Arabidopsis thaliana: one gene and its partner. The protein of the gene in region 2 interacts with the protein of the main gene of each other region in a biochemical or structural test. Each region holds a gene or a part of one and is shown on either strand. Other genes may lie near its edges.

The links.
Region 1: the proteins of EDE1 (region 2) and GRF5 form a complex in vitro, tested with the Arabidopsis thaliana proteins (one study listed by BioGRID).

The regions. Positions count from the first base shown.
Region 1 is NC_003076.8:5,237,883-5,249,834, reverse strand, and holds GRF5 (general regulatory factor 5), read left to right. Parts: upstream 1-3,996; 5' UTR 3,997-4,083; intron 4,084-4,092; exon of another isoform or gene 4,093-4,278; intron 4,279-4,409; 5' UTR 4,410-4,432; coding exon 4,433-4,915; intron 4,916-5,002; coding exon 5,003-5,125; intron 5,126-5,512; coding exon 5,513-5,629; intron 5,630-5,743; coding exon 5,744-5,827; 3' UTR 5,828-6,280; downstream 6,281-11,952. Other genes in the region: AT5G16070 (TCP-1/cpn60 chaperonin family protein), read left to right, coding at 95-187, 303-409, 505-619, 699-782, 1,070-1,274, 1,372-1,466, 1,633-1,701, 1,796-1,903 and 2 more; AT5G16060 (Cytochrome c oxidase biogenesis protein Cmc1-like protein), read right to left, coding at 2,626-2,707, 3,129-3,276, 3,617-3,674; AT5G16040 (Regulator of chromosome condensation (RCC1) family protein), read left to right, coding at 6,527-6,555, 6,646-6,790, 7,150-7,260, 7,356-7,416, 7,514-7,629, 7,732-7,817, 7,908-8,109, 8,224-8,277 and 3 more; AT5G16030 (mental retardation GTPase activating protein), read right to left, coding at 9,257-9,523, 10,542-10,750, 10,838-11,152, 11,250-11,294, 11,386-11,593. UniProt on the Arabidopsis thaliana protein: Is associated with a DNA binding complex that binds to the G box, a well-characterized cis-acting DNA regulatory element found in plant genes.
Region 2 is NC_003071.7:18,267,299-18,279,622, forward strand, and holds EDE1 (ENDOSPERM DEFECTIVE protein (DUF566)), read left to right. Parts: upstream 1-4,820; 5' UTR 4,821-5,047; coding exon 5,048-5,956; intron 5,957-6,113; coding exon 6,114-6,233; intron 6,234-6,351; coding exon 6,352-6,468; intron 6,469-6,560; coding exon 6,561-6,650; intron 6,651-6,756; coding exon 6,757-6,864; intron 6,865-6,953; coding exon 6,954-7,034; 3' UTR 7,035-7,381; downstream 7,382-12,324. Other genes in the region: AT2G44175 (Acyl-CoA N-acyltransferases (NAT) superfamily protein), read left to right, coding at 1,490-1,828, 1,908-1,916; MAP2A (methionine aminopeptidase 2A), read right to left, coding at 2,144-2,254, 2,345-2,562, 2,657-2,800, 2,890-2,986, 3,183-3,277, 3,367-3,458, 3,542-3,787, 3,855-3,962 and 2 more; AT2G44195 (pre-mRNA splicing factor domain-containing protein), read left to right, coding at 7,508-7,665, 7,932-8,241; AT2G44198 (uncharacterized protein), read right to left, coding at 8,768-8,866; AT2G44200 (pre-mRNA splicing factor domain-containing protein), read left to right, coding at 9,004-9,191, 9,531-9,837, 9,956-10,942.

The DNA of each region.
Region 1 (11,952 bases), on a different chromosome or scaffold from region 2:
TTTTTTTGTTCACACAGATGAGGACTCATCTATGCACCAATATTGGTTTTCGAGCTTGTTTGTCTTCTAATTATCTACTTTCCTCACATTACAGGTTCTTTGCATCCGAAAGCCTGAGGAAGCTATTGATCTGTTTATGGTGGAAATAATGCACATGCGTCACAAATTCGATGTTGACACACGATTGGTATGTCTTGACTTAATTTATTGTAAAATAGTTCCCTCATTATAGGTTTATATATGAAATACTTGCCGGTTTATAGTATGGACCTGTTGGAAACACTGACTTAATTCTGAATTAGGTTGAGGGGCTTGTTCTGGATCATGGTTCGAGACACCCTGACATGAAACGACGCGCAGAAAATTGCCACATCTTAACTTGCAATGTGTCACTAGAGTATGAGAAGAGGTGTGTAATATAATTCTTTGGTCAATTTGGCGAAGAGAAAGTAAAGGCCTGGATGTTTCTGGTGATGTGGACTAATATTTCTATTTATCTATCAGTGAAATCAATGCAGGATTTTTCTACTCTAATGCGGAGCAGAGGGAAGCCATGGTTACCGCAGAGAGGCGATCTGTTGATGAAAGAGTTAAGAAAATAATTGAGCTGAAGAAGAAGGTGGGACTGCGACCATTTCTCCAAGTTTTATTTTAAAACCCTGTAAAAAATACTAATACATGTTTTATTTCTTGTGCAGGTGTGTGGTGATAATGACAACTTTGTTGTCATAAATCAGAAGGGTATTGACCCACCATCATTGGATCTTCTTGCTAGAGAAGGGGTAAGCTACTTCTGTGTTTTCTTGCATTTAAACTTATGTTACAAATCGCTGAAATTGTGATATTTAGGAACAAGAAGAAAGATACTAGGGAAGAATGTGTTATTAAGTGAATTGAAATTGCCAGTAATATTAAAAGAGTAGTTCCTTCGATATACAATAATCCATGGAGACGATTGGCAGCATTAGTTTTTAGTTCTGGGACACTGACTGAGCTTGTCTATTCTTTTGTACCTAATTTCTCTTGTTTAGAAGCTGTTGAATCTAATTACCTTTCCTCATGTGTCCAGATTATTGGTCTTAGAAGAGCAAAGAGGAGGAACATGGAACGTTTAGTTTTGGCCTGTGGTGGAGAAGCTGTGAATTCTGTTGACGACTTGACCCCTGAGTCTCTTGGATGGGCTGGACTTGTCTATGAGCACGTTCTTGGGGAGGAAAAGTACACCTTTGTGGAGCAAGTGAAGAATCCTAATTCATGTACCATCCTCATAAAAGGTATTAGGACGACTTTTATGTCTTCATTAAGTTTTGATGGTTCATTTGTTCTTTTAGTAGTTTTAGTGTTCATTCATGAATTTCTTGGGTTTTGTAGGGCCTAATGATCACACTATTGCCCAAATTAAGGACGCTGTTCGTGATGGTCTGAGATCGGTCAAGAACACCATAGAAGACGAGTGTGTTGTGTTAGTAAGTACCTTATATATCTTGAAGTTTTTTTGTTAACATTGCTTTATGTTTCTCCGCAATATCAAAGAAATTGTTAATTCGTGATCAAAACCCTGGGTAAGGTTAGCATATAGACCTATTGTATATGTTTTGCGTTATGTTAATGTGTGGTTGCATGTTTCTGTAGGGAGCAGGAGCTTTTGAAGTTGCAGCAAGGCAACACTTACTCAATGAAGTCAAGAAAACCGTTCAAGGGGTAAGTTGATTTCTTCACTCGTACTCTAATTCTCGCAACATTACTTAATGCATCCCAATATTCTAAATTGCTAATACTATCATGAACATTGCAGCGTGCCCAACTTGGCGTTGAAGCTTTTGCTAATGCCCTTCTCGTGGTGCCTAAGACACTTGCAGAAAATGCAGGTCTTGATACCCAAGATGTGATCATTTCTCTTACGGTATGCATTCATCTCTCTTATCATCTTCTGCAAACTGAAATCAATTGTTGAAGGAACAAAGAATTAGAATTGCTCATTGTGATGCGCTTATGCAGAGCGAGCATGACAAAGGGAACGTTGTGGGACTGAACCTTCAGGACGGTGAACCTATTGACCCGCAGCTTGCTGGTATTTTTGATAATTACTCAGTGAAACGCCAACTTATCAATTCAGGGTAATGTTCGACCCAACTAGTCAATTCTAATAAAAGCTTTGGGTTTCGGTTGAAACCATTTCAATAACCGGCTATTTGTTTGTGTTGCAGGCCAGTGATTGCGTCGCAATTACTTTTGGTGGACGAAGTGATTCGTGCAGGCAGAAATATGAGGAAGCCTACTGCTTGAAGTCCTTTGCTTTTAACTTGGTTTCTAATTTGTAAGCACCTCAAATTTTGTTTCTTGGTGTAAATCCTGAATATTGTGAAACATATGTTTTTTTTTTCTTTTTGGCAATGAAAAACATATTTGAATCTGATCTTTAGATGTAGTGGATCTTTTGCAAAATGATAAAAAATAGTAATACAAAATCTATTTGAATCTGATCTCTAGATTTAGTGAATACACCCATATTTAAGAAAGGCCACAGTTTATTTATAAAAAAGGATATATTTTGGTTCGCAATGAACAAGAAACAAAGCGAGGACATTATATTGGTCGTACTCAAATCTTTTGTTCAACAAACATCTATATGGCCGAGGCTGAGACTTTACCCTCTTCTTGAACCATATACGCTCTCTTCATTTCCTCCAAGACATTGTCATTGGTGCTGCAGAATCAACAAAATAGTTTCATGGTTAGACAACATTTAAGCATCGGCCCAACAAGGGAGACGTTCATTAGGGAGTCACATAAAAAGAACTTGTGCACCAAGAACAAGACTGTGCTACACCGATATAGAAGATAGTTATTACTTCTCTTTTATCGCAGTATCAAAGAATCATCAATCATCCCCTTCTATAAGCTTATATTTGGTTACATATATATACTAGCACTGGTACGTCATGATAACGTTATGCATCTCCTAACCACAAGTTGTCTCATTTCATCATATCAGACTTACCAGTGAAGGGTATTAAGAAAGAATAATCAAAATCAGATGCCCCCATACACAACAAATCTTTATACGTAACAGTGAAAAAAAGATGACACCTCTAATGGAAGGAGCACTAAAAACTCGAAAAACTTACAATTGATGGAGGCAAGTGTTGAGCTCCCTAGCTTGCTTACGACATGTCCATACCACAGAAAAAGTTCTTCCTGTTGCGCATTGAGCATACTTGGAGACGTACTGATCACATTCCATTAATGCCTTTGCCTTCATCTTGCTACGCAGCGCTAATAACAAAGTATATACATAATCAATCAAACAACCATTTAACAAAAAAAAACCATCACCATTTCAACTTCAACACAATCTATAAGCTCAATTCATAGAAGCAATTTGACACACTCAATGAGAGCTTGCTAGATCAGATGCAAAATATGGAGTTACTACCAAGGGTTTATGAGAACCCTAATCCTCAATCTAGCAAAAGAATCTGCGTCTATGATAAGAAACCAGGCTTAAATAGTATCGATATGGTTGATCTCATTTTCGAGGCAATAAAAAAACCATTTGGGGGTTTAGGGTTTTAAAACATAGCGAGATGAAGAAGTCACGACATTGTCAAATTACCTTCTTCGACCTTCTTCTTCACGTGATTTTCACGAGCTTGCTCCACATAGCTACCCATTGACGACGGACCTTCGAGCTTTTCCGGCCTTCTCCGATCAATTCGATCAAAAGGGCAAAGGGGACTAGAAATGGGTTCAGGGCAAAGGGTAAATCCGTCATTTACCCCAAGGAAACTTAACTTATATTGCCATTTTGCCCCCTTAATATTTTTGTATTATATGAATGACCTTATTAACTTATGATTCGTCACATTTCACCCACTTCAATTTAAAATTATGGACGAGAATTAAGTCCTTTGACGGTCAACAGATTAGCACGTGTCGTATTTTAATTGGGTCGTTGCCCCTCTCTCTCTCTTTACTCTTTTCCCATTTAATGGTCACGAGACCGTCTCCCCCAAATTTCTCACTTCCCCTAATTTCGCTTCGAATTCAAAAGCCCTAATTCGAAAATTCCCATTTCTCAAGGTACGGTTCCGATCTTCCTTGCTCATACTTCGACAATGTTTTTTCTGCTTCTCGTTTTCTGCGTTTATTGTTGATATGTTGTTGATCTTCGCGTTTTGGTCATCACTTCAAGATCTGTAGGATTCAAAGTTCGTTCTATCGATTTTGGATAGATCTAGCAGTGTAAATCGTTTGTCAAAGTTTTTTATTCTTTGGGTGCGTGGATTAATTTTGTTAGAGATGATTGTTATCGTTGCTCTTGAATGCAAGATTGTTGCAGCATTACTGAGTTCTATTTCGTGCTCTTTGTTTATTGCTGCTGCTTGATATTTTCTTGTTGAAAACAGGTTTTTAAAAGAGTATTGCAAAGATGTCTTCTGATTCGTCCCGGGAAGAGAATGTGTACTTGGCCAAGTTAGCCGAGCAAGCTGAGCGTTACGAGGAAATGGTTGAGTTCATGGAGAAAGTTGCAAAGACCGTGGAGACCGAGGAACTTACTGTTGAAGAGAGGAATCTCTTGTCTGTTGCTTACAAGAACGTGATTGGTGCTAGGAGAGCTTCTTGGAGGATTATCTCTTCCATTGAGCAGAAGGAAGATAGCAGGGGCAACAGTGATCATGTTTCGATTATCAAGGATTACAGAGGCAAGATTGAAACTGAGCTCAGCAAGATTTGTGATGGCATTTTGAACCTTCTTGAGGCTCATCTCATTCCTGCTGCTTCTTTGGCTGAGTCCAAAGTTTTTTACCTGAAGATGAAGGGAGATTATCATCGGTACCTTGCTGAATTCAAGACTGGTGCTGAGAGGAAAGAAGCTGCTGAGAGCACTCTTGTTGCCTACAAGTCTGCTCAGGTTATCATCTTGTTTCTTCTTCTTAACCATATAGAGTGCTAAGATAACATGTTGTCTCATGCTATTGGTGTTTGTGTTTTTATGTAGGATATTGCTCTTGCTGATCTGGCTCCCACTCACCCAATCAGACTGGGGCTTGCTCTTAACTTCTCTGTTTTCTACTATGAGATTCTCAACTCATCTGATCGTGCGTGTAGTCTCGCAAAGCAGGTCTGTGTTACTTTTTCATTTATGCTATGCTTTCTGTCATTAACTAACAAACCTATATTCCAACTGTTTTGCTTGATTAAACTTAGCACATAAGAGGTTCTTTTTTTCTATCTATCGTTCATAATGTGGCAAAAACGTGTTACGTAGTTAACTTGTTACACTTCCATGTGGGTAGACTTTCCATATGTTCTAGTAATGGTTTGTAGATTGCTTACCATAGCCTGACCGATAGGGTTGTAGTTAATTTTGATGATGGGCAGAATTGGGAAACTAGATCCTGTGAATGGTTCCATACACTAGTGAAATTTGGACAACCTTCACATTCGGATTCTAGTTTGATTCAAGTACCTTTTGTTTAGTTACTAATATGATTTTTCATGGTGGTAGGCTTTTGATGAGGCAATCTCGGAGCTAGACACATTGGGAGAGGAATCATACAAGGACAGTACATTGATCATGCAGCTTCTCCGTGACAATCTCACCCTCTGGACTTCTGACCTCAATGTACTTGTCTCTCTTTACACTCATCATTGTTAGCAATATCTTAGTGATTGCATCATGCAGTTAAGATTCTTGTTGGTTTTCGCATAACATTTGTGTCTAATATCTAATCTCCAGGACGAAGCTGGTGATGATATCAAGGAAGCCCCGAAAGAGGTGCAGAAAGTTGATGAACAAGCCCAACCACCACCTTCGCAGTGATAAAATCAGATCCATGGAATGATTTGCAGACAAAAAAATATATGGCTTGGTTCTGTGTTTTTAAACAGAAAAAAACCTTGTAGTTTCCTTAAACATGGGCTGTAGTTTCCTTAAACATGGATTTGTAGTAGTAATTGTAGCTGCATGATTTGGTTATCGATGGTTAAAACTCTTTGTGTGCTTCTCACATGTTTTGGTTGTTGTCGTTGTTGCCGGTTTCACTATTAGACTGCATTGCATTACATGGTCCGGTCTAAAAGTTGAAAACTTGCTTCCTTCTCTGATTGGGGTTTAGTTGTCTTTTAGATTATGCTTCTCTAGGTGGAATGTTCCCCAAATGGAATTGGTTAAGACTCAAGAGAGTTGTTCAATGAAACGAAATAGAAATGGAATTTCACAACTTTAAACGAAAGATAAAGCCTCTTTCGGTTTGGAACAACTGTTAGGTAACACATATAATGGAATTACAAATCATAAATCCTCCATGACCATAAGCTAAAAAGTTGGATTAATTAATAAATGACATGGGAATGGGAGGTAACATTAACTGGTCCAAAATAAATAATTAATGTAATGACACATTCACATAATAATATCTCGAATTGAAATCCCACCGAGAGTGCCCTGCTTTTCCACTGAGTTTCTTCATATATATCTCTTTCTCTCTCATTTGTAATTGTATCTCTCACTTTTGTTTCAATGGCTTCAGCTACTTCCGTCATAGCCTGGTCATTTCTCTTTCTATTCTACCTCTTTGTTTTTCTCCATTACTGTTTCTGACTTGTGCTATTGCTCCTTCGTTTGATTTTTTGGCACAGGGGTTCTGGAGAAGATGGGCAACTAGGACTTGGAACCGATGAAGAAAAGGAATTGGCTTCCGTCGTCGACGCTCTTGAGCCTTTCAACGTTCGCTCCGTCGTCGGTGGTAGCCGCAATTCCCTCGCCATTTGCGATGATGGCAAGGTTACTTATCCAATTTCCTTTATGTGTCCTTGTTGTGTCTTCTTTGGTTGGTTTCGCTTAGAACTAACTAAAGTACAATGCTTTGCTTTGATTTTGCGATTTGATTCTAAGCCATGTCTTTAAGATTTTCTTAGTTCGCTTTACATAGGGTTTTTGAGATCTGTAGGACCAATTAAAAAGGGTTTAAAGCTCGTATTTTTTTTCTTGTCCTGAAGTCCAACTAAAATGCAACCAATATGTTTGTCTGAGGTTACTCTCGAATAGATCATCAGACTCTGGTTCTTGTCTCCATGGTGTAGTTTATGATTGATGTGTCACCAACATATAGAAATAATATGGTCTCTTAAATGGTTTCTCAGCTGTTTACATGGGGTTGGAATCAAAGGGGTACATTAGGACACCCACCTGAGACAAAAACAGAAAGCACCCCAAGTCTAGTTAAGTCTCTTGCCAACGTCAAGATTGTTCAGGTAAAACTTCTTACAATTATTTAAGTATTTTTGGCTCTAATGCTGTTTCCTCGTTGTGATTTACTCTGAATTGCCGTTTCTGTAATTGATCATAGGCAGCTATTGGTGGCTGGCATTGTTTAGCTGTCGATGATCAAGGCCGAGCATATGCTTGGGGTATGCATTTTCTCTCTCAGCTTCTTTCTAATGATTGTGACCTCAATGATCTTAATGATCTTAAGTTGTTCACCTTTTTGTTATATAATCTACTTAGGTGGAAATGAATATGGACAGTGTGGTGAAGAGCCTTCCAAGGATGAGACAGGTAGGCCTGTGCGGAGGGATATTGTAATACCTAAGCGTTGTGCCCAGCAACTTACAGTCCGACAGGTTACTTATGCTGCTAACCTCTCTTCATTTACCTCAATTTTTAGTTCTCTTTTTTTCCTGTCTAAACCATCTGTTCTCGGGTTTGTATGATTAAAATAACAGGTAGCTGCAGGGGGTACTCACTCTGTGGTTCTAACCCGTGAAGGTTATGTATGGACTTGGGGTCAACCGTGGCCTCCCGGTGACATGTATTATCCAAATTTCCTTTCGTTTATGGATACGACATTTGCATTTTCTTGTCTTCTGTTGGTTTATATGGTGTTTCCTGTGTATCGCAGAAAACAAATTTCTGTTCCTGTAAGAGTTCAGGGTCTTGAAAACGTTCGTCTGATTGCTGTGGGAGCATTTCATAACTTGGCTCTGAAAGAAGATGGGACTTTGTGGGCTTGGGGTAATAATGAATATGGACAACTTGGAACTGGAGACACACAACCGAGATCGTATCCTATTCCTGTCCAAGGCCTTGACGATCTCACTTTGGTATGTAGTCTAAGACTTCTGGTTTAAGCACTCATTATTATAACTGATGCCTTCAGATATGTGAACTATAAAGGCCTATGTTAAAGTTTAATTCCTCCTCTGAATTCATGTTAGGTTGATATCGCTGCGGGTGGATGGCATTCAACAGCTTTAACCAATGAAGGAGAGGTATTAGAAGTCATACATTCTCTTACTAATCTAGGGTCTCACTTTTTATTCCATCTGGCTCTTGATCGAGTCATTACTGGGTTGTTTCTGAGCTTGATGTAGATCTTTACTCTAAAAATGTTGTAACTTGGCTATGTCCAATATTAGGTTTATGGTTGGGGAAGAGGAGAGCATGGAAGGCTCGGGTTTGGTGACAATGATAAGAGCAGTAAAATGCTTCCGCAGAAAGTTAATCTCTTAGCTGGAGAAGACATCATTCAGGTAAAAAGTACAAACCACCAGTTCTTGACTCTTCTCATAGCTTTGAAAGCTCTTATTGTTTTTTTTCCTCTCAGGTCTCTTGTGGCGGAACTCATTCAGTCGCTTTGACAAGAGACGGTAGGATCTTCTCGGTAAGTCCTCTTAGAGAGTATAAAACATTGTTGGTTAGAAACCCAAAGTCAATCTATAAACCTCTCCTTTATATTGATTCCTGTGATCAGTTTGGTCGGGGAGACCACGGTAGACTCGGGTATGGAAGAAAAGTAACTACGGGACAACCATTGGAGCTTCCTATACACATTCCACCACCAGAAGGACGGTTCAACCACACCGATGAAGAAGACGATGGAAAATGGATAGCTAAACATGTAGCTTGTGGTGGCCGACACACTCTAGCAATTGTGGAATGGAAGTATGATCAGGAGGAAACAGAATAACCATGAAGAAGATAGAGCGAGCAAAAAAACAAAAACACAAGAGGGACTCTAGAGATAAGCATTTGTTATAGAGAAAAGGGGAGCAAAAGCATATGGTTAAGCTTTTGACACTCCCATGAATGATGAATCTATATGAAAGAGGAAGAACTAAATATAATATCATCATGATTTTGTTTTTGATAATATAAAATAGATTGAAAAAGAGAAACAAATAAGAGGAACCTTTGAAAGGATGGTTTAAACCTTTAAACCTTTATTGATTCTCTCGGTTTAAAGGTTTTTCAACAACCTTTGACAAGATGAGGAACACAAATAGGGAAGATATACTTTGATTTTCTTGCTTGTCTTTGTCTTGATCTCACCCATGAGAAACATCCAGGTCCTCTCTTCTTCTTCTTGGTCTTCTCTTCTTCTTCTTGTTCGTCTTCTTCTTCTTTATCATCTTCTTCACTCATATCTTGCTTCTCTTCTTCTTCTTCTTCTTCATCTTCTTCGTTGCTCATATCTTGCTTCTCTTCTTCTTTTTCTTTCTCTTCCAACTTCACATCCTTCAAAGCTCAAATAAATCTTCATTAACATGTAATATCTTGAGAAGAACAAGGCTTAGATATATAATATAGATAAGACTTATTTTCCTTACAAGTGTTTTTGGCCTTTTGGCAAATTATCTACAGTTTCATGTCCAAAAACAGCAATTGATAATAGTTATACAAACGTAAATCATCTCTTTTCTTTCTCAAAGGTAAAACCACATGTAAAGTTGGGGACTGGTGAGACTTGATGAAACAAACTTCTAAGGTCTCTAATCGAGTTTGAATAGAATGAGATTGCTATCAGTGCCTTATCAAGTTACAAAAACTTACTCCTAAATAACATGTTACTCATAATCATAAGAGTGACTATAACTGTATATTTAGATAAATGTACAGAGAAAATACAGAATATGGATGGTAGTCACGTGAGTTGGAGACAAAATCATGAAATGGGGCCTAATGAGATATATTTTCAAGAAATACGGTTTTGTGTTTCTATGATTAATACTCTCATATATAGTCATAGACGGTCATGTGTACTATGTTTCATATATCATGAAAGAATCTTAAATCTTAAAATGAATCATGTAACATATCTACAAAAACAATAATAGAAGAGTTTTATCATTGTCTCTTTCCATGAAAACATTTGGTACTATCATTTCTTTGATGCTTTTCTTATCTTGCGAAAGAGTATCTAATTATTGATGCATATGCACGAACAATTCAAAATTTTATGCAATTATTATTTTTTTCCGTACCTTTTCAATTGCATGGACCTCACGCTAGCGACTAAATATTTCTCACTTTTTTATTAAAAGTTTTCATTTTTTTCTCTCTAAATTATAATTTTACCAAATTAATAGATTTTTTTTTTTGATTTGATACTGTTTTTCCTTAATATTTTAGGCTACGGTAAATATTACTGGATTTTGTTAGAGTAATCCTTGGTTAAGAAGTTTAAATCAAACTCAAATAAACATAAATGAAATAAATTCTTTTTGAATTACTGTTATATTGATATTATATATACCTGTTGTTGACCTTTCACTTTGAGATTGATATCCACTGGCCAATCATCAGCTTCCACGTGTCGTTTTAACGACCTTTCCATAATCGGAGGCGTTTTTGCCGGACTAGGGCTACCGGAGCTAAGATCCACCGACGTCGTACTCTGTATGCCCACATCTCGCTTCATCCCCACAACTTTCTTTTCCGCTAAAAACACCCCCCCATAATTTACTTTTGATCAGCAAAACCCAATCAAGAACAAACTTCAAGAAACCTAAAAAAAAATCTAAAAGATGGGACAGAGTTAAAGTCAATCACCTAGAGCAAGAAGTTCAGGATCAGGAGCATAAAGATCCTCGTGAATGACTCTAACGTTAGGATTATTATTTGGTTTGTTTTGAGCAATATTATTCATCAATGGATTGGGACTAGGGAAGTGAAGAGGAGCAGACATGGTTGATAAGTTTCTGAAGGATCTTGCACTTAATGTTTTAGCAGACAAACACTCCATTGGTACTTCTCCAGACAATGGATTGCAGATATATTTCTCTGCTTCGTTCCACTTCGAATTCAATGCAAACCCTTCTTGTGCTAACCATTCCCTGTTATTGTACATTGTCTTTGCTTGTAATGCTGCTACAAACAAAAGAAACAAGACAAAACACATTTGGAACATTACTCTCTTGTTCTGTCCTTTCGAACGTTCAATAGGAGAAAAGCAAAAACTTACCTTTGAGTGCATTGGTGAAGGAATATGTTGATGGGTCAATCTCTTCTGTGGTAAAAAGATTTGAAAATTCAAAAAATATTCAGAAGAAGTAATTCTCATAAACTTATTGGGACAAAGAGAGAGGTATTTATAAAACCTTTGAGAGTGTAGCCAGGAGAAGAGGCAGTACTAGAGATGTTGTTGAAGTTTGTTGTTCTAAAAGAAGACTTGTGGTGATCTTCTCGGAAGCTTCCAATGTATGAAGCTGAGAATCTTCTTGAACTCGGGTTTTCGCGGATTAATCGAGCTCTTCGATCCCATTCTCTTAAGTTCATAAACTCATGCTCATCTCCTCGCAAAGCCATGGAAACGAGATGTTTCTTCTTCTTTAATTTTTTGAAAAAGCAAAAACTTTTGAGCCAAGGAGGGAGAATGAAGAAATCAGGCAGTACCTATAAAAAGATGTTTTTTACTTTATGAAAAAACGAATTATTTTTGTACCTTATCTTTTTCAAAAGTTTTTATTGGTTACTCATATTTAAATTCTTTTGTTTTTTCTTGAAAGATTCAAAATATATATATTTTTAAAAAAACTAGAATATATAGAGGTTGTTAATCAAATTGACTGCTTGCCCTGTATTTTTAAAAAAATACAGTATAGCAGTTTTGTTTTTTCTTGGGTGTAATCCATTTATAGGAATCAAACTCACTTGGCATTTTCTGA
Region 2 (12,324 bases):
AAGAAAACTAAGCGATAGTATCAACAATCACGAATTACTTACCAAAAGCTCCGGGTTGAAGAATCGGAAGAAGATCGCCGGAAAATAGCTGAGCTACGATCGGAGAAAAGTGAGAGAAAACATAAATTCGAAATTTCTGGAGACACAGAGACGAATCCAGACCCTGAGATTTCTTCAAAAGTTACCGTCAGATTGAGGCGAATCCACGTGTCATCATCTGCTTTTCAGATATTTGGCGCCATAATATTCAGTTCGTACAATCGGAGACGTCATCGTCGCAATCTGTTAAAACAAATCTGACGGACCGTTATAATTGACGGACGAAAACAAACTGCAAGTGGCCCAACACAACTTTCATATTTACATTACTAAGCCCCTTCCCTCACGTTCACAAATATATACCTTATTGGGCCTATTATTTAAGGCCCAACAGCATTAATCATGCAATCTGATTTACATAATCAATAAAACCTCTATAAATTAATACTCAAAAAATTAATAATAAATTAATAGATTTTTTCGGTCCGAATTGTGACTACTATTAAAATTGATACAAATCGATAAATTAATAAGATAATATTTTTTTTGAAAACTTTATATAAATATATGGTTCCATCAATAGTACTTCATCTATTTTTTTTGTTTGATATTTTAGGAAAAACACAAATATTAAGAAAAATATATTAAATTTTGCTTTTAAATTTATTGTTCGTTGTGATTTACAATTTTCAATAACTTTAAACCAATAATATTCAATAATTTGTATTGAAGTTTACAATTTATCAATTATAACTAATAACTATTGCATTGAAAACCTAAAAAATCAATTTTTTTGAAACAATTTTTTTTCTTCTAAAAAATCAAACAAAAAGGAACAGAGGGAGTATACATTAATAATTATATATATTTACCAATATATATTATAAATATCTTATATAAAAATATGACTCTAGTTATGTTTTTCTTCAATTTTTATTAATTCTTTGTAGTATTCAATTCTAATATTTTACAACATGGAAAAAAATTATATTGTTTTTTAAACTTAATAACTAATTTCTACTTGTAATTGGTTTCAGAAATACTATTGATTTTAAAGAACAAACTAAATTTTATATCGAATTTTTGTATACAAAATTTGTACAATTTTATTAGTTTATCAATAAATTAATATCTCTCTAAATTAATAAATTTCTTGGTCCTAATATTATTAATTTATAGAGGTTTTGTTGTGGCCGACATGAATTCTTCGACGCAGAAGAAGCCCAAATGATTTATTAGCAACAAAAACAATATAATGGACCCAGTATGGAGCTAAAGTTATATTGTTCATATGTGACATTGTGTTGGGGGTTTTAGCACCTTGATACAACGAGGAATATGTTGCTTCACTCATCAGTTTTTGGAGTTATTTAAAGATGACGAAAAAGAGAGGATAGTAGACAAACAAAAACAATGGACGTCATCCATTATGCCTCTTTGTTTCTTGGGGATGAAGCCGTCTGATGTCAATGCCTATGATAGAGCTGAGGACGGCGAAAGCTCAAAAATCCAGTCTCAAAAAGAGAAAACAGATCAAATCGTCAAAGCAAAGGCCCATAAGGATGTCGGAAACACTAGTTTGCCTGAAAGTCCAGTTGAGCCGGCAAATCCGTTATCTGAGATCAAGCAAGAACCAGAAAAACTTCCTTGTGGTTATGAATGGATCACATGCGACTTGAACACTGATGATATGTGTTCAGAGGTGTGCAAATTTCTCAAGGAACAATATCTTGTTGACGGACAAAAGTTCAAGGATGCTCTTCAACAACTTGCGCTAGATGATACATTCGTTTGGTTTTATTATTATTTTGCTTCTTCTCTATATGAACTACTTTTCCCATGCGATTTTTTTACTTTTGAATTATTAGGAAGTGTGATTTTGTTACTTGTGTTGTGTCATATATAAAAAAATCAAAATTCTATAACAGAATAAAAAATAAGCTAACATGTAGCTATAATTGATGAAGGATCCCCTAAGCTCTTATACTTAGAATCATCTTCGAAGAACATACAAATATTTGAGCACAAGACTTAAAAAGCCTTCCAAAACTATTATACAAACTCAAGAAGAACAACTGCTTCAAGTTCTGTGAAAATCACTATTTCAATAATCGTCTCCTTTGGAAATAATCTCTTTGCAAGTTGGTCGCAACAGGATTGTATGCTCAAACTGAGAAATATAGCTTCCTTTGACATCACACACTGGAGGACATGGCTACAAAAGTTAACCCAAAGAAACTTACTTTCATCAAAATGTTCTTGAACATAAGTCATCAGAGTATATATATAGTTTTAAGGAGTTTACCTCAATTATGCCAGAATCACAAAGATTCTTTAAAGCCATCAAGTATTTTGTTTCACCAAGGCGGTCCAAATAACGTCTGCAGAAGGCTAGCGTGGAGAAGTTCTTGTTAATAGTGGCAAGGAGTTGTTTTGCCCTTGGTAACCTCAAAGGTACATGACCCACATCATAGTTTTTCATGTAATGGCTACATTCTAAGTCTTCTCTTACATATCCTTTCCCTGCAAAATGACACAAGTGAAAAACCAATTTTACTCTGAATTCGTAAAAATCCACATTTCTTGTATAGTTTCATGTGAGAAATGTTGTTGTTACCTGTTGATCCAAAAGTTTCAATGGCATATAATTCACCCTCTTCCATTTTCGTCTGCTCGCCTCCTCTAACATTAGGAACTGATTTTTCAGCGTGTATCTGATAGCGTCCAATGCTGTGCCCATTCAGGTTTCTGATACTTTTGACTGCCCCCAAAAGACACAACATTGTTTTAGTTTTCTAATAATCCAAATAGAAACCACCAAAAAATGCTGCCACAAACGTAATCAATTACCTTGGTAGACTTTTCCATTGATTTCAACCTCATAAGACTCCATGACCTCCTGAACTGCAGCACCAACATCACAGAGCCGGACATCTACCCCGGCTTCCTAAACCAACAAAATTAATAACACAATGGACTTATTCAGTTGGATTGAACGATAAAGATCCAAAAAAGAAGCTCAATATGGTTATAAGAAAACAATGCAAACTTCAAAGAAGAAGTCACTACAGAATGAATGGCTGCATTCACCATATCCAAGAACAGAAGAATCCCACAAGTAGCAACAGAAACAGAATGAGCACCTTGATACCAGTATATGTTGCGTCACGCGAGGCTGCTAAAAGAGGATCAAACATAGGATTGAACGCAACTGTAAAAGCAGAATCAACAATGTGCCCTGCCAAAACAACATAATAATTGTTCTTATGAGACATCTACGTTGAGAAAATACAACAAACAGATGATAAGTTTTTGTTTTTACCATACCATCAATATGTGTTCCAAAATCCAGCTTCATCACATCATCATACTGAAGGACAGTCTTATCTCCAGAGTTTGGTGTCCAATGAGCAGCAACACTGAAGGTTCAAGTAAATTTGAGACGCATTGATAGAGCCAAAGATCAAAGAAATGCAGAAAGAATGAAAAAGGTTGAACTAACTTATTCAGTGAACATCCTGTAGGAAAGGCGATACCAGCTTGAAGACCATTCTCTGATATCAACTTACGAACAGTGTTCTCTAAAGTCTCACAGAGATCAATCATCAACATTCCAGGCTTCAATATACTTCTCATATACTTCCTAACTTGACGATGAACTTCCGCTGCTTGGCGAAGAGAGTTATATATCGGCTTTTGCAGCCTCTCCATCTCTCTCTTCTCTTCAGATGTTGTTCTCCACAAATTACTACATCACAACATAGACTTAGCTAGCAAAACAAAATGTCCTTATAGAAAATCTAGTCTAGACTTACTCATCATTGTACTGTTGGATTTCACCTTGAGGAAAATCTCCAGAAGGGAAGAGCTCAAGAACAGGAATTGAAGGAGGATCAGTCTGTTGAAGAGAACTCTTCTTCTTCCTAAAAACAATCATCAGATTTTTGAGCAAGATCATCAAAGCAAACACTGAAGATTAACAGAAAAAAGAAACAACTTCTCACTTGCTTTTACTTTTCTTCTTCTTCTTCTTCGTTGAAGCCTCAGCTAAAATGAAAAGACTAAAAGTCTCAACAACAATAAAGCTAGAGAAACTCTAAACCAACTTCACATACACTAGTTCCTAGAAAGTTACAATCTCTGATGACATAACCAGATTGATTAATCTAAACTAGTAATAAACAAGAACACACGAAAGAGACCAAAGTTCCATCTTTTTCCCGTCATAATTACATACTTCAACTACAAGATCTATCAAAAACACGAAATGATTTACCTTTCAGTCCATCTTCTTCTTCTTGGTTATTATCCTTTTCGTCTTCCTTCACTTCAGCCAGATCAAGACTCTTCGTTAAGTCAGAACTTAACTGAGACTCGTTTCCATTAGAGGACTCGGCTTCAGTGTTCTCCTTCCCCATAGTTGCTACTTCTGGGTTTCCTATCGCCATCTCAAATTATTTTAACAAGGAGGCTTAATGAGAAGAAGTGCAGAAGAAAGTTCATCAGAAGAAGTCAAAGTCTCCTCTTTTCACCTCTTTTTCACTCCCAACTTTTTTCTTCAGTCTATCCAGGAAAATGTCGGAAGGTTAAAACAATTGCAAAATGATCCAACAAAACTTTCATTTATACATTTATAACCCATTACTTTAAAGAACACAAACGCTCCTTATTGGGCCCAATATTAATAGGCCCACCAACATTAATCCTGCTTATCTTTTTTTTCAAAACATTAATCTTGCTTATCTTATCTGATTAATTTAATTTAATCGAGAAAGCAAGACAAAAAAAAAACCTATCGTTTCACGGACAAGAAGAGAACCGTTGCGCTTTGTGAAGCATTTACTCAACGGCTAGTTTCCTTCTTCTTCCCCTTTTCTCTTCCTCTTCGCCTAGGGTTTCGAAAATTTCAATCCGATTTGAATAATTTCTGTTTTCTTATCGGAACAAAAAAATCTCCGGCATCTGGAATCTCCGGTGATTTTGTCAATTTCGAAGAAATTTGATTGAAATGGAGGCGAGAATCGGCCGATCCATGGAACACCCATCTACACCTGCGATTAATGCTCCGGCGCCGGTTCCTCCTCCTTCTACGAGGCGGCCGAGAGTAAGAGAAGTGAGCTCGAGATTCATGTCTCCCATTTCTTCTTCGTCATCGTCGTCTTCCTCTTCTTCCGCCGGAGATCTCCATCAATTGACTTCAAATTCTCCTAGACATCATCACCAACATCAGAATCAGAGATCGACTTCGGCTCAGAGGATGAGACGGCAATTGAAAATGCAAGAGGGAGACGAGAATCGTCCTTCCGAGACGGCGCGTAGCTTAGACTCGCCTTTTCCTCTTCAACAAGTCGACGGAGGTAAAAACCCTAAGCAGCATATTCGATCTAAGCCGTTGAAAGAGAACGGTCACCGTCTCGACACACCAACGACGGCTATGTTGCCGCCACCGTCTAGATCGCGGCTGAACCAACAGCGTTTACTCACTGCCTCCGCTGCGACTAGGCTTCTCCGATCAAGCGGGATCTCGTTATCATCTTCTACAGACGGTGAAGAAGATAACAACAATAGAGAGATTTTCAAATCCAACGGCCCAGATCTGTTGCCAACAATTAGAACCCAAGCAAAGGCCTTTAACACTCCCACCGCCTCACCACTTTCTCGATCCCTGAGTTCCGATGATGCGTCGATGTTTCGAGATGTTAGAGCTTCATTGTCGCTTAAAAATGGTGTTGGTTTGTCATTGCCTCCGGTGGCTCCTAATTCGAAGATTCAAGCCGATACAAAGAAGCAGAAGAAAGCTTTAGGACAACAAGCGGATGTGCATTCTCTGAAACTGCTCCATAACCGTTACTTGCAATGGCGATTTGCAAATGCAAATGCTGAGGTCAAAACACAATCTCAGAAAGCACAAGCTGAGGTCAGTTTCTATAGCTCTGAGAATCAGAAATTTGATAGCTTTTACATATAGATCAATGTTTGACACATAACTTCAGTATTAGTGATGAATGTTGTTTAGGTTAGATTCTGTTTGATGATGGTGATCTTATGGATGCTGTAAATTGTTTTTCTTGCAGAGAATGTTTTATTCACTTGGTTTGAAAATGTCGGAGTTGTCTGATTCTGTACAGAGGAAACGCATAGAACTCCAACATTTACAGAGAGTTAAAGCTGTTACGGAGATTGTAGAGTCACAAGTAAGTAAAGATCTTAAATATCGTAGATTTCACACTATTTTTACATTTATGAACGTTTAGAGCAATTGTGTAGTTTCCTTGTAAAAATTGGTGTTAAACTACTTTTAACTCTATGCAGACTCCTTCTTTGGAGCAATGGGCTGTTCTTGAAGATGAATTCTCAACTTCACTATTGGAAACAACTGAAGCTTTGTTGAATGCTTCATTGCGGTTGCCTCTCGATTCAAAAATCAAGGTATATGTTGTGTTGGTCGAATCAACTAGGAAAAATTCTGCTCCTTTATACCTTTTGTACTAAAACATTTAGATTTTGCTTCTCAAAACCAGGTTGAGACTAAAGAGTTAGCAGAAGCACTTGTTGTCGCTTCAAAATCTATGGAAGGCATTGTGCAAAACATTGGAAATCTTGTGCCTAAGGTTAGCAAAATACAGTCAATGTGCTTCACATTAAACATGAACAAAAACAAAGTTCCTACACACGCCTATGTTGAAACTGAAACATCTTCCTTGGTTCCTTTTGCAGACACAAGAGATGGAGACTTTGATGTCGGAATTAGCTAGAGTAAGCGGCATAGAGAAAGCATCAGTAGAAGATTGCAGAGTTGCACTGCTTAAGACACATTCATCACAGGTATTAAAACTTGTACTGTTTGGGGGACATAACCATTTGTTTCTTTTCAGTTTCTGAAATCCTAAAGTGTTTTTTCTTCTATTCTGCAGATGGAAGAATGCTATCTTAGAAGTCAGCTTATTCAACACCAGAAGAAGTGCCATCAGCAAGAGTGCACAACTTCTGTTTGATGATTTTTTAAGGTTACTTTACCACACAGTAAAAACAGCCAGCCATACATGGCATACTCGCTAGTGCAGCAACACTGAAGCTCTTCGGTTTGGCATAATCTATCTTCTTACATACCTCAAATAACAAAAGAATTTGTAAATACTATCAGTTGTCTTGTAATATCTGAGTCTATTCAATGATCCATTAGCTTTTGTCTGAGCATTGTATTACCGTATCTTTTAGTAAGAGAACAAAGAAGACTCCTTTTCAAGTGTTGGATGTTGAATTCATCGACCACTTCACTGGGTTAAACCAAAGTAAACCGGGACTCTACCGCGAGATATCCAAAACAGGCCCGTTAATGGCCATTATTAAGCCCAGATGTCCATTAAGGCGGCGCTGAGATTATAAGAAGGTGAAACTTTCTTATTATAAAAACCCTTGACGAGTTTTTGAACGAAGAGGAGGAAAGCAGAAACTCTAAGAAGAAAGAATGGCGTTGAAGTTTCTGAACAAGAAGGGGTGGCATACGGGAAGTATCCGCAACGTTGAGAAAGTATGGAAAGCTGAACAGAAGCACGAAGCCGAGCAGGAAAAGATTGAGGAGCGTTCTGAATTTCGCGCTATCCAAGAACAGGCCGGTCTTGTTCCGTAAGTTTTCTAATTCTATACCTATAGCCCTCTCCTAAATTAGATTTTGATTGGTACATATATTTGAAATTAGGGTTAGCAACAGAGTTTGATGATTGGAAGTATATTCTAATGGCGGCGTTAGTTAATTAGTTTTAAAACCTTTGAAGTGAATCATGAATGATGATTGCAATTGAGCTAATGATCAAAACTCGAATATTTTATCGAAATAGCGTCTGTGGTAAGATGAGTGGTTTTAACCTTAGTTTTGTTGTTTCTTCTTGTAGGAGGAGGCCAGAGAGATTGGAGTTCTTGTATGATCCAGAACTAGCAGTAGCGAAACAGAATGTTAGTAGTTCAAGACATGGTGTTTTGTTTCAGAATCAAGATCAGCGAGCGAGAGCTACGATTCCTGGTGCGTTGTTTGATGATGATGATAAGAGACACTCTGCCAATGATTCTTGGCGCAAATTCCACTCCGACCCTTTGCTTCTCATCAGGCAGAAAGAGCAGGAAATCTGGAAGTTCCTTTCTTTATTTCTTTACTCCATTCATGTGTCCTGCTTGTGTTTCTTCTGTAAACGGTTACGGTTTTAGATTGTATTGGATTTCGTTTCTGCTGCTAACCTGTTGTGGATTGTGTTTCTTCTTTAACAGTTGAAAAGAAAAGCGAGAGGATAGAGATGGAGTGTTGAACGAGGACAAGATACAACATCGGCGTAGATTGTTTAAATACATCGCAAGTTATCTTCTTCAGGTGTTTTTTTTTTGAGTAGGATTAGGAATCTTCTTCAGGAGTTGAATGTATAGAAAACACAGTTTTTTTTCTTTTTAATACAAAGACAATCTTTAATTGCTCTCTACTTCATAAAGTTGTGATGATTTTTAGGTGGTATACAAGCATTACTCTCTGGTGAAACACACAAGCTTTTTGGTTTAAAATAATAATTGAATTTGTCAATTGTCTACAACGTCTCGAAAATCAATAAATCTTTGCCATTGTTTGATCCGGAAGAAACGAATGTCTTTGACTTCTGAGTATTTGGGAGTTTCACAGACAAATTTCAACAAGCAGTCAGAATTTCATTGGACTTAAAGCCAATCTAAACCGGATCCAATTAGCTTAGATTTGCGGTTTAGCACAACCATTGACAACAAGCCCATGAGGCCCAAATATAACATCTAAATCACACGTTTTAAACACGGACGGCTCTGATTCCATCTCACATTATTTCGCTTATACGACGGCGACGGAGCAAAATAATTTAGAACCCTCGACGAGTTTTCGATTGAACGAAACAAAAAAGAAGGTAACCAGATTTTGAAGCGAGAGGAGGAGAAACAAAAAGAAGAGCAATCATGGGGATGAAATTTCTGAACAAGAAGGGTTGGCATACGGGGAGTCTCCGTAACATCGAGACTGTATGGAAGGCTGAGCAGAAACAAGAGGCTGAGCAGAAAAAGCTTGAAGAGCTTCGTCTCCAGATCTTGCAGGAGAGGGAGCGTTCTGAGTTTCGTGCTCTCCAGGAACAAGCCGGTCTCATCCCGTAAGTTCCTCTGTTTTCCTTACCCACGATCCCAATTGATTTGGGTGATAACGAATTTGGGAATTAGGGTTAGCGGTTTGAGTTTTTAGCGTAGAATATATAACATGCATCTGCTGGTAGTTAGTTGGTTTTATTAATGATTGGCGATGGAATCGGTGATTTGAAGTTGTGGGTCGTTCTAAAGTAGTAAAGTTGTATACTTTTATGATTTGGAGTCATTAGAATCTATAAGATGCATCTGCTGGTAGTTTGATTAGTTTTTAATGATTGATGATGGATTCGGTGATTGGAAGTTGTGGGTCGTTCTAAAGTCTTATACTTTTTGTTATCTTATTGTAGGAGACAAGAGAGATTAGAGTTTCTGTATGATTCTGGATTAGCTGTAGGGAAGGGAAGTGCGAGTGGTTCAGGTGTTTCGTTTCAGAAAGAAGAGCAGCCTTTAGCCAAATCTGAAGCTGGTAGTAGTGCCAGTGAGAAGCCAGATCAGTCAGCTCCTGGTGCGCTGTTTGAGGAGAAGGCACAATCTGCTAATGATTCGTGGAGGAAACTTCACTCTGATCCTTTGCTTCTCATCAGGCAGCGTGAACAGGAAGCTCTTGCCAAAATCAAGAATAATCCTGTCAAAATGGCTCTTATTCGTAAATCGGTAAGTTCTTTTGTTCTTCTACATGGAGGGTTTGGGAATTGGGATTACATTGGATATATGTTATTGGCTTTCTTTTCCTTATACATTTACTGACCCTGTTGGAGAGTTTCTTTTACAGGTAGAAGAAAAAGGAAAGGGTAAAGATGGAGACACAAAGGAGCACAAGAAGAAGCATAAGCGTAAAAGTGGAAAGCATCAGAAGCAATCTTCATCCAGACAGCGGTCTGATTCGGAAGAAGATTCTGGTGAAGAGAATAACGGAAGAAAATCTCACCATCAGAAAACGTCAGGGACTCATGACAGACACTATGAAAGACCAAGGTCAGATTTAGAAGATGAGTCAAAAGGAAGAGAGAGTCGTGATAGGCACTATGAGAAACGAAGGTCAGAACTAGATGATGGGCACAAAAGAAGAGAGAGACATGATACGCACTATGAGAGACGAAGGTCAGAAATGGATGATGAGTCAAAAAGAAGAGAAAGTAGGGATAATCACTATGAGAGACGAAGGTCAGATTTGGATGATGAGTCCAAAAGAAGAGAAAGTCATGATAAGCACTTTGAGAGACAAAGGTCAGATTTGGATGATGAGTACAAAAGAAGAGAAAGTCAAGATAAGAGACGAAGGTCAGATATTGATGATGAACCAAAAAGAAGAGATGCTCGACCGAATGAGAAATATCGAAATCGCTCCCCTAAAGGCGGTGTGGAAAGGGAAAATCTTAAGAGTTATGGTCAAGAGGATAAAAAGAGGAAAGCAGAGGATTTAGACAGTGGAAAACCGAATGAATACCAGAATAGACGCCGGAAAGGTGGCTCTAAGCTATCAGAAGAAGAAAGAGCTGCTAGATTGAAGCAAATGCAAATGGATGCAGAGGTGCACGAGGAGCAAAGATGGACAAGATTGAAGAAAGCCGATGAGACCGATGCAGTGGAAGCTGATAAGAACAAAGTATCCACGGGCAAGAGCTTTTTGGACGATGCTAATAAGAGTGTGTATGGAGTTGAGAAAGGCGGAAGCTCAACAATTGAAGAAAGCGTGCGTCGCAGAAGCTATTATTCACAACGTGGAACTGCAGCTGAAGGCAATGCGTTTCGACGCTGATGATGTAAAAATATTGTTACAACAAAACACAATGTATACTAAGGTTTGTGTCTTTTTTGATATTTTTTTTCAGTTTTTGACATTGTATTTCTGATTCCAGAATATTGTTGAGCATCAAGCTCTTTAGGTCTTTTGATATATGAAGACAACGAGGCTGAGGCCCATTGTCATAAGCCCATTATGGGGTGGTCCAGTGTTTTATCCCGGATCGAGCGTGGGATTTGAATAGTTAGTGTGTAATCTTATTCAGTGAGTGGGACGTTGAAATGAGGTGTATGAGTCAGTCAATGAATACCCGTGACATGTAGTTAAGCCATAATACTCCAAGATTCCCCTTTGGCACCTTTTAAATAAACCACGAGATGAAGCCACTCTCTCTTTTGTCTTTTTTTAATATGTTTTATTTTCTTTCTTTTTCTTGTCCATCTTTTTAAAAATAATTGAAATTTGACCTAGGGTCGTTGGTGTGTTATAATTTTGATTCAATTTCGAAGTTCGCATGTTGATAAGAAAAATATAAACATTTGATTCGAAAATGTTTAAAGGAAAAAAGAGAGATGGATTTGTAATGGAAACATTTTGACGTGTGAGATTTTAACCTCTCCTATTTTCAAAGATTGGGCAATATGGGGTTAGAAGCTTGCAAGGGGGGGTTCACGTGTAGCGTAAATGTACAATGATGTCACTTCCTACACTTTATCACGTCCTTGAATTTATAGGAATAAAGCAAATGTTCTAATCAATAATACCAATCTTGCATGTTTATTTAATTATTATATAGAAGTTTGATTTTATAACGAATTGTGTAATATAGTACTTTTGTGATGCCGCCGTTCCTGAATATGTTGACTTTGCAATTGCAAGCCAGACCTAGAACTGAAGAAAAAAATGTACGAATTAGTCATTTATTTATTCGAAGCATAATTCATTTGGAAAATCAGGAAGACCATTATAGTACGGAGCCAAAATATTTGAACATCACCTAACATGTTTTGTAAGCTTCTTTGATATTTATTCTTGTTAATAAAATTTTACTTTCTTACGGACAATAGATGCAACCAATTTGCATTACCTTCTAAAAATATCTACTGTAGTTGTAGCGGTGCACATCAATTATTATAATTTTTGAAAAAATGGTGTACCCAAAAAAACATAAATATTGTTATAGCAATGAATACAAATCAAAGAAATATATGTATTTAAAAACTTAAAAATAGAAGAGTTGTACGAATTCACTACCGAAATAGACAAGATTTATTTTGGCCAATACCAAAATTAATGGTATATAGGACATGAGTGAGTCGGCTTAAAGAGAAGAAAATAAAAAGAAATAAGAAATAGGAGGAGATGTAACAGAATGGAAAACGAAAGGTGTGGAAATT